3 linked regions of the Oryctolagus cuniculus genome follow. The protein of the gene in region 3 interacts with the protein of the main gene of each other region in a biochemical or structural test. Links are inferred from orthologs where the notes say so. Each region holds a gene or a part of one and is shown on either strand. Other genes may lie near its edges.

Evidence for each region. The genes of interacting proteins can lie anywhere in the genome.
Region 1: of the proteins of PML (region 3) and HIPK2, one has a biochemical effect on the other in vitro, tested with the Homo sapiens proteins (2 studies listed by BioGRID). The link is inferred for Oryctolagus cuniculus from reciprocal best matches to the Homo sapiens genes PML and HIPK2.
Region 2: the proteins of PML (region 3) and CREBBP form a complex in vitro, tested with the Homo sapiens proteins (2 studies listed by BioGRID). The link is inferred for Oryctolagus cuniculus from reciprocal best matches to the Homo sapiens genes PML and CREBBP.

Annotation. Positions count from the first base shown.
Region 1 is NC_091434.1:184,332,745-184,337,829, reverse strand, and holds part of HIPK2 (homeodomain-interacting protein kinase 2), read right to left. Parts: intron 2,559-5,085; coding exon 1,475-2,558; intron 1-1,474.
Region 2 is NC_091450.1:31,795,387-31,800,067, forward strand, and holds part of CREBBP (CREB-binding protein), read left to right. Parts: intron 1-2,099; coding exon 2,100-2,261; intron 2,262-2,402; coding exon 2,403-2,684; intron 2,685-3,980; coding exon 3,981-4,681. UniProt on the Homo sapiens protein: Acetylates histones, giving a specific tag for transcriptional activation. Mediates acetylation of histone H3 at 'Lys-18' and 'Lys-27' (H3K18ac and H3K27ac, respectively).
Region 3 is NC_091443.1:109,460,910-109,467,271, reverse strand, and holds part of PML (protein PML), read left to right. Parts: intron 1-1,429; coding exon 1,430-2,010; intron 2,011-2,876; coding exon 2,877-2,947; intron 2,948-6,362.

The sequences.
Region 1 (5,085 bases), on a different chromosome or scaffold from region 3:
ATGCCTCATCCTGAGTCAGTGTCAGGACGAACAGAGGCCGGGAGGAAGGTGAGGGGCCTGCAGCTCCTGCCATGTGACCACTGCTCTTCCCAGCAGGCGGGGGAAGCTGGGAGGAGACTTGCGACAGCGCTGTGGGCAGTCAGGGGGCCAGGAATGGGTGAGGATCAGCTGTGTCGACGCAGCTGTAGCACATTCTCCAGCTTTTTCTCCATGGCCTTGAAGCCCCCGGGCAGAGGGTCTCAGGCAGCAGTCTTAGGGACCTCTTCCATGTCATCGGGCTGTCTTCTCGCAGGAGTCTGTCATTTCTTACCACTTGCCTGGTCCCTGCGCCCTCAAGGACAACCCATCACTATTGCCCCAAACCACCTCTCTCTCTGTCTTCAGCCAGCTCCTCCCTGTGCCCCTCTCGGGCTGGCTGCTGCTTGCAGCACCTACGATGTGTTAACCACGGCGAGCGATCAGCCCAGCAAGCGCAGAGGCCGGCTTCTCCCAGGTCATGGGTTAGGAGATGAATGTCTAGGGAAATGAGGCAACTGGCCCAAGCCACACAGCTTTTGAGCGGAGGAATCAGGTCCAACCCTGGGTCCTCCTGACTCGGAAGGCAGCAGAGAGCAGCTCTCAGCCTGACTGGCCCTGGGGCCCAGGAAAGCTGGTAGAGGTCATTCAGCCGGCCCGTGGGTTCTGTCTGCGGAGGGCACTTTGGAAGCGCCCCAGGAGTCTTGCAGGTGCAGCCAGGGCTGAGAATCAGTATGCAGGAGACTCCAGGACGGTGAGTGCCTCGTCCACGACCCTGCACTTAGCACGGCGCCGGGTTGGAAGTAAATGCTTGTTGAATGACTGACTGTACGGAGGAATGGTTGCCTAATTCACACTTCCCAGAGGCTCCACAATTCTCCCCTCGCCCAGACCCGAGGCTTGCTCACCACAGGAGTGAGCAGCCGGCTCCCTGACTTCTCTCTTCCTCAGCCTCCTCCACACGGGAGGTGAGAGGAGCAGCCTTCCCAGCCTTCACCTTTGGCTGTTCAAATCTCAGGACACAGTTGCCAAGCTTTAGCCTGCTACTCAAGACCCCCAGCAACCTGGTCCCACTCTGTGCTGGCTCGCAACCACACCTCCCTCAGAACTCTGCCGGCAGGTGGCTGACCTGTCTCGCACATTCCTACGGCAGGATTTTGGACAGCACGGCCCGCCCTCTTCTCCACCGTGAGGACCCAGTTCCTCCACCTTGTCTGGACCTTCATTCCAGCTCCCACGGATCCCTTCCAGCTCTGAACAACTAGACTAAGCCTCCTCCTTGGCTCTGCTCTTACCTGGCTCCTCACCGTCATGTCAATGTGCGCCAATAGGACCATAATTTCCCAGCTGCATTAAGATCACTGGCGGGCAGCAACTGTTCACACGCGCTCCTATCTCGCCCTGGGTGACGGCCACCACCGGGCCCCTCACGGCCCCTGTCATCTTGGTGCGGTCTTACCTGTAATACCGGGACTGCAGGTAGGTGGAGCACACGGCCTTGGACACGTGACTGGCTGACCCAAAGTCGATGACCTTCACCCTGTACGGCTGCCTGGACGGATCCACCAGCATGATGTTCTCCGGTTTGAGGTCAGCGTGGATGAGCCCGAGGCTCTTGAGCTTCATCAGGGCCGTGGCTACCTGCTGGAGGACCGGGCGGATGTATTTCAGGGGCAAGGGGCTGAACTTGTTCTGCTTCAGAAAGTCATAGAGGTTCTGCTCCAGCATCTCGAAGACCAAGCAGGTGTGATTCTTGTGCTGGAAGCACTCGTAGGCCCGCACGAAGTTGTAGTCGTCGGCACTCTCTGTGCTCAGCCGGGCCAGGATGCTCACTTCAATCTGGCCCTGTCGGGCATAGGACGGGTGGTTCTTGAGGATCTTGATGGCTACGATTTCATTGGTGCCCCGCTTCCAGCACTTGACCACTTGCCCGAACGTCCCTCGGCCCAGGAACTCCAACACCTCGTAAGTGTTGGTCATGGAGCACAGCACTTCATGCTGGACCAGCTGGTAGTCACCCTCGCTGTTGGAGCCGCTGTTCTTGGAGGTGGCAGTGGACGTGGTGGCAGTGGCGACCGTGGCCCCGCTGGCATTATTCTGAATCATGGGTGGATGCTCTTCGATGATCTGCACGCTGCTCGTGTTCTCGATCTCCTCGCTCTTACGCTTGAGTCCGCATTTCTGGTAGGTGTCAAGGAGGCTGACGGTGCTGCGCCGCATCAGGTTATGTGGTCCGCCGAGGACGGGCCCAGGGACAGACGTGCTGCTTGCGGACGTGACCACTATGTGCCCGGTGCTTCCTGGGAAGATGATGGTCTGCTCGTAAGGTAGGCTGGGGTTTGGGATTGGCAAGGAGGTGCTGACGGTTGTGGTGGCTGGCTGAGAAGGTGCTGTGTTCTTGCTCTGGCTGTACACTCTGCTGTGGGAGCCGTACCCAGTCATGTCCCAGCTGGAACTCGGCTCTACTTTGAGTTTCTTCACACTACAGAAGGCACTTGATTGGAGGGTGTGAGGGGAGAAAACTTGCACATGTGAGGCCATACCTGTGAGGAGAGAAGAGGAGAAATAAATTCTGAGCCACCTCTGCATGAATAAACCCCAGAGATCCGCTGCAGCTCTGAGATGGCCTGGAGTCAACAGCATTTCCCTCCCACTTCAAAATAAGGCCGGGAACAGGAATCTACTGCACTCAGAAGCGGACCTGTTACTCAGTGTGTGGGTCACCCTGCCACCAGCAGGGGGAAGGAGGCTTGGAACACAGAATGAGAACAGGGACTCCACTCATCTTTTTAAATATCAATAGTGTTTGTGAAAGAAACTGCTATCAGGTGGCCCCTGGTTAACTGTTACAAGCTTAGCTACTCCATGTGGTCAGCCAGCTCAGTTCTGTCAACAGGCCCCAGCGGTCAGGTGGCCCCGTGGGGGGCTCCTCTGGTCTTCTGGCTGAACAAGTGCTGCCTGGCATCTGAGCCGTCTTAACCAAATTCTGCAGGGCTCTATCACAGTTGTTCCCAGAGCAACTGTCCAGCTTAGCAGTTGACGCCCGCGTCCCCAACCTGGGTTCAACACCCACCTGCAGCTTCCAACTTCAGCTCCCTGTTGGTGCACCCCCCAGGGGGCGGTGGTTCTGGCCCACCCACGTAAGGGACCTGACCTGAGTTCCTGGCTCCCGGGTTTGGCCTGGCCCAGCCCTGATGGTTCCAGGCATCTGGGGAGTGAACCATCAGACTGGAGCTTCCTTTCTCTCTCTCTGCCTCTCAAGTTTAAAAAAAGAAAAATTATAAATAAAAGAGTCTGACATTTTCATTTAGATTGACTAAAACATGATTATCAGCCTCTTCGCCGGGGAGTGGGAAGCACAGATTATGGACTCGATTCACTCATTTTCCATGCTAAATTCTTACATCGATAAATTTTTCTAGAAAGTACTACTATTTCATATTAGCACTTTGCCCACAATTTAGCTAACTTCAGAAATTTGTAAGATGATTGCTTGGGAAGAGTTGTACAATTTATAATCACGGCGATACCGGAAACATAAAAACCCACAGAAAAGAAATTAAGGAAAAATAACAAGGAGATGAGGAAGGGTAAGCCTTACAGAAAAAAGTAGCTGCAGTGGGTAAAGGCTTCTTCGAGGAGCAGAGCGGGCGCAGCTTCGCCAGACACTGCTGGGGCTCAGCCACCCGGCGCCCGTGCGTCTGGGAGCGCTCGGCCTCAGGCGGAGTGGGTGGTCCACACCTTCCTCTTCACCCCGTCTCAGCACCCACCCTTCACTTTGCTCCCAAGCTGGAGGCCCGCCTTACTCTGCTCTCCTGCCTGGTTCTCTCACGACTCTCCATCCCCCGGCCCCTCTCCCCCGTCTCAGAGGAAGGGGTGTCTGTCCTCCAACATGGAAACTGCCCTTTCTGGAGGCCCACGGTCCCCCGTTTCCTCTCGAACTCTGTGTCCAGCACTTTCCCTTGCAGCTTTCAGTTTCCCTGCTTAACTGGAGCCAGTCCTTAGCAGACACTTCCTGCAGGTCGGCCAGTCCTGCTGTGCACACACAGACTCCCAGCTGGAGGGCAGGAGGAGCGACGGCCGCCCCCCACTCTCCCCTTCTTCTCCCCGTAATCCGCGCTTGACCCTCCCTTTTCTTAAGTGTTCACTTAGTAATCTTCCCATTCACTTTCAAACACTATACGACTGTAATTTTTTAATAAAGATTTGCTTATTTATTTGAGAGTCAGAGTTACACAGAGAGAGGAAGAGACAGCGAGAGAGAGATGGTCCATCCATTGGTTCACTCCCCAAATGGCCAGACTGAAATCAGGAGCCAGGAGCTTCTTCTGGGTCTCCCACGTGGGTGCAGGGCCCAAACGCTTGGGCCGTCTTCCACTGCTTTCCCAGGGCATTAGCAGGGAGCTGGAATAGAAGTGGAGCGGCCGGGGCTTGAACCAGCGCCCAGATGGGATGCCAGCATTGCAGGCAGCAGCCTTACCCACTACACCCAACGCTGGCCCGAGGCCTGCACTCTTAGAGGTAGATGACTTTCTAGCAGACCAATCCACTGGCCGTTTCAGCCTCTATCATTGTCTCTGTGACATCTGACACTGCAACCACGACTTCCTTCTAGAAGCTCTTATCAGGATTCTCTGCAATCTCTTCCTCCCACTGTGCTTGGGGGTGGGGGCGGTTCCTCTTCCTCTTCTTCCTGTAAAGTGTTTGCATTTACCACATTTGGACTCTCTTCTCCCGGCAATACACCACCCATCCAAACAGTTTAAGCCATCATCTCCACGCAGGCAACTCCCACGTATTTATCACAGGTTGGGTTCTCCCTCATAGTTCCAGCGATACAGTTTTGCCTCCCACTACGTAAAAATGATCTTCCCCAGTGACCTCCTTATCCTTTCCTAAAAATCCAGCCACCTCACCCTCCTTCCTGACACCTCCATATCTGTTCATAAAATATTCTACTGGCCGTTTGGTTCCCAGACCTTGGAGGATTCTTTTCCTCCATGAACAGGAAGATATGAGGCACTCATAATCTCTCCTCCTCCAACATGTCTCCTGCACCCAACTCATTGT
Region 2 (4,681 bases), on a different chromosome or scaffold from region 3:
TGCCTTGTGAGCCCTGAAGGTCATCTCTGAGGGTGGCCCAGCTCTGGGCCTCGAGTGATCTCAACCAGTGCACAGAGCCCTTGGGCGCCTCTGAGGGCGGGCAGACCTACCTCTGACGGGGTGAGGCTGGGCCGTCCACAGCGTCCAGGTGGATGAGGGGCTCATGCTGGAGCCAGCCTTGGCCACTGGTGGCCCAGGACTTGGTGGGGGCGGGGGCCAGAACTCTGAGGTTTGGGGATGGACTCACCATCGTGTGGGCAGCTCCCAGGTGCTGTGGTGAGGACATACCACCATGGCCACGCCCAGGGCTTGCGGGCGTTCGCCTCCATTCCAGCCCACACTGGGGCCGCAGTGCTGCCCCGCCGTAAGCAGCCACACTTCCAAGGCACAGCAGCAGCGGACGCCTGCCGTGGCGTCACCAGTGGGAACGAGATGTAGCTGGCTGCTTGTGCTCCCAGTCTGGTGAAGAATTACCTGCACAAGAGACTGAGTGCATAGGTGAAGAGAAAAATGAAATGTGATTGCTCTGAAGGGCAAAAATTTTATTATTATTTAGCCGATTTTTTTTTTATGGTAAAAAATTTATTTGAAAGGGAGAGAACAAAAGGGAGATCTTCCATCCATTGGTTCACTTTCCAAATGGCTGCAACAGCCAAGGCCAGGCCAGGCCAGGCCAAAGCCAGGAGCTTCATCTGGGTCTTCCATATGGGTGGCAGGGACACCAAGCACTTGGGCCATCTTGCGCTGCTTTTCCTAGGTCCATTAGTAGGGAGCTGGATTGAGAGTGGAGCAGCCAGGACACAGTCTTGAGCCCATACAGGATGCTGGTGTCGCAGGTGGCAGCTTAACCCAGTGCACCATAATGCTGGCCCCTACTTTTTTTAAGATTATTTATTTTTAAAGAATTACAGAGAGGGAACGACACAAAGTGATCTTCTATCCACTGGTTGATTATTTATTTTGAAAGAGTTACACAGAGAGGGAGAGACACTGAGATCAGTCTCTCCATTGGTTCACTCCCCAGATGTTTGCAAGGGCCCCAAGCCTGAGCCAGACCAAAGCCAAGAGCCAGAAGCTTCATCCAGGTTTCCCATATGGGTGGCAGGGGCCTACATAGTTGGGCCATCTTCTCATGCCTTCCTGGTTGCATTAGCAGGTAGCTAGATTCAAAGTGGAGCAGCCGGGATTCAAGACAGCACCCATGTGAGATGCTGGCTGGCCTCACAGGTGGCTACTTTACCCACTGTGTCACAATGCTGGGCCCCCAGCCATACTCTCCCTAAATGTTAAGCAGTGAACACGTTGAATAATATCTTTTGAAAATAGACTTTGTGTTTGAGAGATTTAAGGCTTTTAGAAAAATTGAACAGAGAATTCCAGCAAAACCGGCGCACCTCCCATTAGTGGGGTGCATCTGTTGCATTTAACTGAAGTTCAGACTTTATTCAGATTTCCCCAGTAAACCTTTTCTGTCCCAGGGTGCCAGCGAAGCCACATAACTTTGTCATGCCCCTTCAGCACATCTTGGCACCCACAGTGTCTCTTGTGGGTCTGCATTCTCCTGCTAAAAACCACGCTGTCAGCACCAGGGCCGCCTGCCTTTCCCGTCGTGAGGTGTAAAGTTGTCTGCAGGACAGGAACACTGAACTGAGAAGCACGACCCTCTCATTTACCTGCAGCCACCAACTGCAGTCCAAGCAGGCCTGGCAGGGGGTAGCCGGGTCCGGGAGGCAGTCCTGCGTCCCTAGGGCCACTAGTATCTTTCATGTGCGTCTCACAAAAAAACACCGTGGGTGTTTGGAGCCCTTCTCAAGGCAAAGAACAAGATGTCGTGCCTGTGAGATGTGACACGGAACTCCGAGTGTCCAGTAGAATAGTGAGGCATCATGGGAAACGGCTTCCACGGGCCCTCGCTCCTCAGGTTTCTGAGCTGGTGTGCTGGGTCTGCAGGGGCAGGCCAGGCTCCGCTTCCGTCCTTGCCGCTCTCTCCTCTCTCTTCCTAAGGACGCTGCGTGTTCAGGGCCCGTGTGCTGGTGGGGTCGGCTGCAGGCCCCTGCGAGGCTGGGCGGCCTGACGTGACGGCTCTGCGTGTGTTGCAGGGCAGTCAGGGCGACAGCAAGAACGCCAAGAAGAAGAACAACAAGAAAACCAACAAGAATAAGAGCAGCATCAGCCGTGCCAACAAGAAGAAACCCAGCGTGCCCAGCGTGTCCAACGACCTGTCCCAGAAGCTGTATGCCACCATGGAGAAGCATAAGGAGGTAGAGCTGCCAGCACAGGGGGTGGCACGGGACACGTGTGCTTGGCAGCCGGAGCTTGTGGGTTTGGTGATGCCGCGCCATGGTGTGCCGGTGGCGGGTGGGCTGTGCGCTCTCCGGGGCTAATGCTGCTCCTCTCCCCAGGTCTTCTTTGTGATCCACCTGCACGCAGGGCCTGTTATCAACACCCTGCCCCCCATCGTCGACCCAGACCCGCTGCTCAGCTGTGACCTCATGGACGGGCGCGACGCCTTCCTCACGCTGGCCAGGGACAAGCACTGGGAGTTCTCCTCACTGCGCCGCTCCAAGTGGTCCACGCTGTGCATGCTGGTGGAGCTGCACACCCAGGGCCAGGACCGCTTTGTCTACACCTGTAACGAGTGCAAGCACCACGTGGAGACACGCTGGCACTGCACGGTGTGCGAGGTGGGTCTGCCCGGCAGCCAGGGCCAGGATCTGGCAGGGCTGTCGTGGGTTTGGATGTGGCCTTGGCATCTCTGTGCAGTGGCATTGGTGCTGGCTCAGGGTGAGGAGAGGAGCACGAGGCCGAAGGCTTTGTTGCTTTCTCCCTGGTGTTTCTGTGTCGGGCGCAGACCGTGCAGTGCTGAGGAAGCCTGCCTGGAGAGCCGGAGGGAGGCTCAGGGCAGACAGGCACAGACACCTGCTCCTGCTCCCGCGTGCTCCGGGGCTGGTCTAGCTGAGGATTTCGGATGCCCTCGACCCTTTGTTGTCCCGGCCCCTCACTGTTCCTAATGGGCCCCGTACACGTCTCACAGGCCTTCCTCTGCAGGTTTGGGCCTTGATGTGGAGTCGCCCGCGGGTGGGTTGTTGGGCACAGTGTGACCCTTCGCCTCTTCCACAGGGCAAGTCGTCGGGCCTGCCCTTGACCCCTCCTTCCTCCCAGGACAGTCCGTAGTCACCGCCGACCAGGGCTGCTTGCTCTGCGCTCTGCCACAGGCGGTCGCCATGCATGTCCCAGACCTCTCTGCTCCCCTCCGCTGCCTGCCTTCTTTCCCCCAGCCTCCTGCAGGCTCTTTGTCCTCCTTTTTGGGTGTTTTTTTGTAAGATTTGTTCACCTACTTGAAAGGCAGACCTGAGAGGGGACATCTTCCATCCGCTGGTTCACCCCTCAAATGTTGCAGCAGCCGGGGCTGCTCCAGGTGCAGCCAGGACCCAGGAATCCAGGTCTCATGTTGGGGGCAGGGATGCTTGGGCAATCTGCTGCTACTTCCCCAGGCACCTGAGCAAGCAGAGATCATCAGACCCGGGCCGACACGGGATGCTGACGTCGCCGGTGGCCACTCTCCGTGCTTGGCTGCAGCACTGCCCCCACTCCTGAGCCCTCACTGCTGTCGTGTTCTTCCGGGGCTCACCATTAGTCGGCCTGGGCGCAGGGCTCCGATGTGGGGGACGTGTGTCTGCCTCCTGCTTTCCAGCTGTAGGCAGCTCTGTCCCCAGGACTTGCTTCTTGGGAAAGCCTGTGTGGTGCCTTCCCCTGGGGAGATGCCCATGGTATCTGCTGGCCCTTGGGTGGCACCTCTCGCCCTCACACTGTTGGCCTTCGTGGCTGGGTGTGGCAGAGTCCTGATGCGATTGCGGGAGAGAGAGGAGGGAGGGGAGCCAGCGTCCCTGCCTGGGTCCTCGGGCAGACGGTCCTGTGTGTTAGCGTGCACGCCCCCAGCCCGAGGGGGCGGCCTTGCTGACCACTCTCTTTGCTTGCAGGACTATGACCTGTGCATCAACTGCTACAACACGAAGAGCCACACGCACAAGATGGTGAAGTGGGGGCTGGGCCTGGACGACGAGGGCAGCAGCCAGGGCGAGCCGCAGTCCAAGAGCCCCCAGGAGTCGCGGCGCCTGAGCATCCAGCGCTGCATCCAGTCCCTGGTGCACGCCTGCCAGTGCCGCAACGCCAACTGCTCGCTGCCGTCCTGCCAGAAGATGAAGCGGGTGGTGCAGCACACCAAGGGCTGCAAGCGGAAGACCAACGGCGGCTGCCCGGTGTGCAAGCAGCTCATCGCCCTGTGCTGCTACCACGCCAAGCACTGCCAGGAGAACAAGTGCCCCGTGCCCTTCTGCCTCAACATCAAACACAAGCTTCGCCAGCAGCAGATCCAGCACCGGCTGCAGCAGGCCCAGCTCATGCGCCGGCGGATGGCCACCATGAACACCCGCAACGTGCCTCAGCAGAGTTTGCCTTCTCCTACCTCAGCTCCGCCCGGGACCCCCACGCAGCAGCCCGGCACGCCCCAGACGCCGCAGCCCCCTGCCCAGCCCCAGCCTTCACCCGTGAGCATGTCACCAGCCGGCTTCCCCAGTGTGGCCCGGACTCAGCCCCCCACGACTGTGTCCGCAGGGAAGCCCACCAACCAGGTGCCGGCTGCCCCGCCCCCTGCCCAGCCCCCACCCGCGGCGGTGGAGGC
Region 3 (6,362 bases):
TGCCCCTGGGGTCCCTGCACCTCAACAGCGGGGGGTGGGGGGCGGGGGGCGTCAGGCTGCCCCTGGGGTCCCTGCACCTCACCAGCAGGGGGCAGGGGGCGTCAGGCTGCCCCGGGGTCCCTGTACCTCACCATCGGGGGGTGGGGGGCGGGGGGCGTCAGGCTGCCCCTGGGGTCCCTGTACCTCACCAGTGGGGGGCAGGGGTCGTCAGGCTGCCCCTGGGGTCCCTGTACCTCACCATCGGGGGGTGGGGGGCGTCAGGCTGCCCTGGGGTCCCTGTACCTCACCAGTGGGGGGCAGGGGTCGTCAGGCTGCCCCTGGGGTCCCTGTACCTCACCAGTGGGGGGCAGGGGGCATCAGGCTGCCCCGGGGTCCCTGCACCTCACCATCGGGGGGTGGGGGGCGTCAGGCTGCCCTGGGGTCCCTGCACCTCACCGGGGGGCAGGGGGCATCAGGCTGCCCAGGGGTCCCTGCACCTCACTGGGGGGCAGGGGGCGTCAGGCTGCCCCTGGGGTCCCTGCACCTCACCAGCGGGGGGCAGGGGGCGTCAGGCTGCCCCGGGTCCCTGCACCTCACCAGGGGGCGGGGTTGGCGTGTTGGTTCACGTGGAGACTCCCCGCCTATTGAGACGTCAGTGACCCTGGTAGTTTGAAAACACTTTGTTCTTGAGAACAAATGATTTTTGGAGGTTTTTCAGCGGGGAGTGGGGGTAGGGGGAGAGTGAAGATGGGGGAGGGGCCCTGGGGGGCTGGGAAGCACAGGGGAAGCTCCTGGCTCCCGGCTTCGGCCTGCCCAGCCCTGGGCATTGCGGCCATCTGGGAAGTGAACCAGCAGATGGAAGACCTCTCTCTCTCCCTCTACTGCTCTGCCTTTCAGATAAATAAACCCTTAAAAATAAGTTTATTTTATAAAGGAAACATCAATTCCGCGAATTCCTTTTGTACGCATTCTCCGCGTCCTGCAGCTGGAGGCACAGGCCGCCGCAGCTTTACTCTCGTGTGCTGCTCTGGGCCCTGGCACCAGCGCCATGAACGCTGCGTCGGGAAAGCGTGAACCTGCACACCTACTATGACTCAAACTCTGGCACTTTTATCTAGGGGATTTTTTTTTTCATCTGAATGGCAGAGAGACAGGCAGACGGGGGGAGGATCTTCCGTCTGCTTCCAAAAGCCCTTAAACAGCCAGGGCTGCAAACTGCCCGGATACCCCCGTGGGGGGCAGGGACCCGATGACCTGAGCCTGCCCCTGCGACCTCCAAGGGTGCGCCTCAGCAGGAAGCTGGATGGGAGCGGAGTTGGGACTGGGACTCGGGCACTCGGATATGGGATGTAGGGGGTGAGGTGGGTCCCAACAGGTGCGCCAAACGCCAGTGGGGTCTGGCAGTTTGGGAAGAAGCCGGCGAGCCCTAACCCAGACGGTTCTCCCGCAGCATCTACTGCCGGGGCTGCCACAAGCCCCTGTGCTGCTCGTGTGCGCTCCTGGACAGCGGCCACAGCGACCTCAAGTGCGACCTGAGCGCCGAGGTGCTGCAGCGCCAGGACGAGCTGGACGCCACGGCGCGCGCGCTGCGGGAGCGCGGCGGCGCCTTCGGGGCTGCGCTCGCGCAGGTGCGCGCGGCCATCGGGCAGCTGGGCCGCGCGCGCGCCGACGCCGAGGACCTGATCCGCGAGCGCGTGCGCCAGGTGGTGGCACACGTGCAGGCGCAGGAGCGCGAGCTGCTGCAGCAGGTGCACGCGTGCTACCAGCGCGACTATGAGGAGCTGGCGGCCCGGCTGAGCCGCCTGGAAGCCGTGCTGCAGCGCATGCGCACGGGCGGCGCGCTCGTGCGGAGGATGAAGCACTACGCGTCGGACCAGGAGGTGCTGGACATGCATGGCTTCCTGCACGAGGCTCTCTGCCGCTTGCGCCAGGAGGAGCCCCAGGGCCCGCAGGCCGCCGTGCGCGCTGAGGGCTTTGACGAGTTCAAGGTGCGCCTGCAGGACCTCGTGGCGCGCGTCACCCAGGCCACAGGTGAGCACCAGGGCCACCCTCGCCGCAGCCCCCTGGGGTTTGGTCAGGGCACGGCTCATGTTAGCCCTTGAGGGGCCAGCCCCCCTGTGTGCAAGAGCAGAGAGGACCCCTGTGGTTGGGGTCAGGGCAGAAGGGAGCAGAGCGAACCTCCCTGGGCGGCTGGGTGCCGTGGCTTTGGGGAGGAATTGTCACCGCAGCAGCTCCATGAGCCTGAGACTCCCGTGGGGAGGAAGGCGGGGGGCAGGGGGACTGCACGAGGGGTCCCAGGGCTCTTTGACTGAGTCCTGAGCTGGACGTGAGCCCGAGCAGCTGGGGGAGGGGAAGAGAAGAGAGGCTGCGGGCTCTGGAGGCACCCAGGCAGGTGCCAGGGCACGAGGGCTCGCTCTCTTCTGCCGGAGCCGACGGGAGGACATGGGCTTGTGCCCCCACCACCCAGGCAAGGAGCGGACAGCCCCATGTCCAGGAAGTGACCCCACAGGGTTTGGACAGCTGCCTGGCATTGTGGCTGGGCGGTGGCGGGGAGCAGGCTTCACTCTTCGAAGCCCAAGGGATCGTGGTTGGGTTTTGTCCACCGGCTGCTGGGCAGTGCAGAGCCGTGAGTACCAGCGGCTTCAGGGCCGCCCACCCTCTGCCCTGCTGACGGCCCGGAGACGGGCAGGGGTGCCCTTGGGGTTCCAAGCCACAGGCAGGTGCACTGTGACGCCGGCTCCCTGGGCCTGCGCTCGTGCCCACTGCGGTCGGGAGGGTTGCCTCCGTGGAGGTGCCGGGGAGACGGATAAGTGTCTGGAAAGAGCACCAGACACGTCCTCTGTCTGCCCCAGCCCGAGGTGCCCCTCACCTGCCCATGATCTTCTCTGTGTCCCCAGACGCAATTCTGTCCAGGAGAACCAGCCCGCAGTCTGCCAGTACCCCCGGCGACCTGCCGCACGTGGACCTGGTGAGGGGCCCGCGGTCTGGCGGGCGGGAGGCCGCTGGCCCCGTGTCTGCGGAGGGAGGGGCTGTGTGTGGGAGGGGTGGTGCTTCCCGGGAAGCCCTTACACAGGGGTCTGCTGCTCAGGGGCCCTCGGGGCTGCCGTGGGTCCCACCTGGTGGCCGGGGGTGCACCCCGACGAACTGAGAGCTGTGTGTGTAGAACAGGTGGAGCAGGAAGTGGCCAGGGCCACACCCCGACACAGGGGGCAGGTGCCCCCCCACCCCACCTCCACATGGGAGCCTTCTCCTGGGGTCCCCTACGCAGACTCAGACCCTCCTCCTCCTCTTCCCCCACACGTGGCTCTTGGGGACATTCAGAGTGGGGCAGGTGTCCTGTCTCTGTCCCAGCAGCTGGAGTCTCCCGGCTGATTCCGGGGCCTCTGGGGGCTGGCCGGCCCCCTGCTCCTCCCTCTGCGGAGTCTGGAGGTACCCCCCTGCCCTGCACACCTGCACCTCCGGGCACGGGAAGCCTCTACATCTCAGTTGCCCCCACACAAACGCCCCTACCTGATGGGAAGGCCCCAGCGGCCCTGGGACTCGTCCCCTGTGCAGGAAATGGCCTTCGGTCCTCCCAGCCTGGCACTCAGGTTTGCTGAAGGCCTGCAGGGAGGCACAGCAGGTGGCTGGACCGGAGCTAGCCGTGCCAGCCTGGGGCTGGCCAGTCCTCCGAGGAGGGCAGGTCTTCTGGTCGGCAGGCAGGGTCAGGGCTATCGGCTGAGGCAATCTGGAGAGGCTTCCTGGAGGAGGAGGAAGCGCCTGGCATCTGAAAGTTTTAGAGCGAGCAGAGAGGGTAGACTCTTAACTGCCCCCTTCACAGAGGCTGAAGGAAGGCCCAGAGAGGGCTGTGGTGGACCCTGGCCCCACCTGGTTACTTGGGGATGGGGCAAAAGGCAAACCCTTGAGCACCTTGGTCCTGCAGCCCTGTGTGCACCATTTCAAAAGTAGGGAAAGAGGGCATTTTATTTATTCTTTAAGGTATTTATTTTAAAGATTTATTTATTTGAAAGGCAGAGCAACAGAGAGAGAGAGAGAAAGAGAGGGAGAGACAGAGAAATCTTCCATCCACTGGTTCACTCCCCAAATGGCCACAACAGCCAGGGCTGGGCCAGGCTGATGCCAGGAGCTTCTTCCTGGTCTCCCATGGGGTGCAGGGCCCAAGCACTTGGGCCATCCTCCACTGCCTTCCCGGGCCACAGCAGAGAGCTGCATCAGGAAGTGGAGCAGCCGGGACTTGAACCAGCGCCCATACGGGATGCCGGGTGTTCAGCCATCTGTGCCGTGACGCCAGCTCCCTGTTTTGTTTTTGATACGATCGCGTGGTCAGCAATGAGACCGTGGACCCCGGGTGTCACCCACCCGGCCCCCACTTGTGCCCGTGCCCCTCTTCCTCTCTTTAGTCGTTTTATCTGTACCCTCTGGCAGCTCCTCAGGTCCCTGCGAGCAAGCAGACAGCAGAGACTGGTTCTCCCTCCCTGTTTCCGCACCCACTCTCATGGTCCCATACACACATGCAGTGCCCTGGGCCCTCCTCCAGCCTTGTGTCCGGTCGGGGCCGCAGTGTTGGGATCGCTCTTGGCCAGTGCGTGGTGTGCGTCACGTGCCGGCTCCCTGCCCCTGCAGGCTCAGGTGGACAGATCTGCCAGGAAGCGCCATCGAGCAGTAACGGGAAGGGCGGGCCTGGGTGCCCCTGCTCGGCTGTCTTTCTCCCTTGCTGCTGCTGGGCGAGCGGCCGTCTCGGGGGCAGGCGCGGGCTGAGATGGCCTCTGGCCTCTGGCGGGAGCTGATGCAGGCTGAGCTGGCAGCCGCAGGCGGGGCTGTCTTTGCAAGGCCTCTTGCTTTGCCTGCAGGTGGCTGCGGGTGACTGAGCGCGCGCAAGGGCGGGCAAGGCAGGCACCGGCGGGCGGCCCCAGGCGGCAGGAGCTGCGTGCCTGCCTTAGGAGGCGGAAGTTGGGTTCTGGCTCCACCCGCTAGAACGGGCTGGCTTGGTTGCTTGTGTTGGGACTGTGGGCCCAAGGTGGAAGACAGACCCCCGGGAGGACCCCGAGAGTCCCCCGACCAGGAGAGCAGGGGCAAGCAGCGGCTCGTGGTCTCCTTCCTCTGCCTCCCTCTGCCTGTTGTGACGGCACAGAAGTGGAACAGAGAAACAGACATTAAGACAGACTGTTTAAAGCTCAGAGCAGCCTGGTGTTGTGGCTGGTGTTGTGGCACAGCCGGTAAAGCCGCCACCTGCGGCGCTGGCATCCCGTATGGGCGCTGTTTCCTGTCCCGGCTGCTCCACTTCCCATCCAGCTCTCTGCTGTGGCCTGGGAAGGCAGTGGAGGGTGGCCCAAGTCCTGGTGCCCCTGAGTCCATGTGGGAGACCTGACGGGGCTCCTGACTCCTGGCTTTGGCCTGGCCCGGTGCTGGCTGTGGCGACTTCTGGGGAGTGAAGCAGCAGATGGAAGACCTCTGCCCGCTGCCAGTAACTTTGACTTTCAAAGAAACAAAAAATATCTTAAAAAAAAAAAAAAACAGCCGTGAGCTAGCGACCACCACCCCAGGCAGCTGGCAGGGGGCACTGGCCCGGGAGCACCCCCACGTACCAGCCCTCCACGCTCAGCAGTTTCCTGCAGAGGCCGGGGGTCAGGCGGACAGGCTCGGGGGCCCAGGAAAGCTGACAGGGACGGGAGTTTCCGTTAGGAGACCCTGGCTCCTCACCTGGCCGGGGCCCCCAGCCCCATCCCATGTGTCGCCTCCACGGCGCCCCCTTTCCGTGAGCCTCAGATGGCAATAATGAGAGCAGGTTGCCTGCGTTTTCCGCCATAATTTGAAAAGTGTGGTGTGGGGCCAGTGCCTGCAGCGCCGGCATCCCCTGTGGGCGCCGGTTCTAGTCCTGGCTGCCCCTGTCTCTCCCTCTGTCTGTAACTCTACCTCTCAGATACATAAATAAAATCTCGAAAAAAAAAAATGGTGGTGGAATCCATGTAGCCTGGAACTTACCACTGCGTGCACTCACAAGCCTGTAGAGCCATGCCATCTGTGTGCTTCTGGAATGTTTCCACCCCCCCCCCAGGGAAACCCCCACCCGAGAAGCGGCCAGGCCCCACGCACCCCTCACGCAGCTCGGCTTCCTGCCTGCTTCTGTGTCTGCAGCGCCTTGCTCTCTGTGCGCGGGCCGAGCAGTAATGAACACCGTGTGTGCCTCCACTCCTCGCCGCCTGCGTCGACGGCACGGATTCGGGCCGTGTGCATGTGCCTTTGCATAATTATTTTTTTAATTTATTCATGAGAGAGGGAGAGAGAGATCTTCCATCTCCTAATTCTCTCCCCAAATGCTTGCAACAGCTGGGCCAGGCCAAAGCCAGGAGCCGAGCACTCCATGCAGGTCCCCCGCGTGAGTG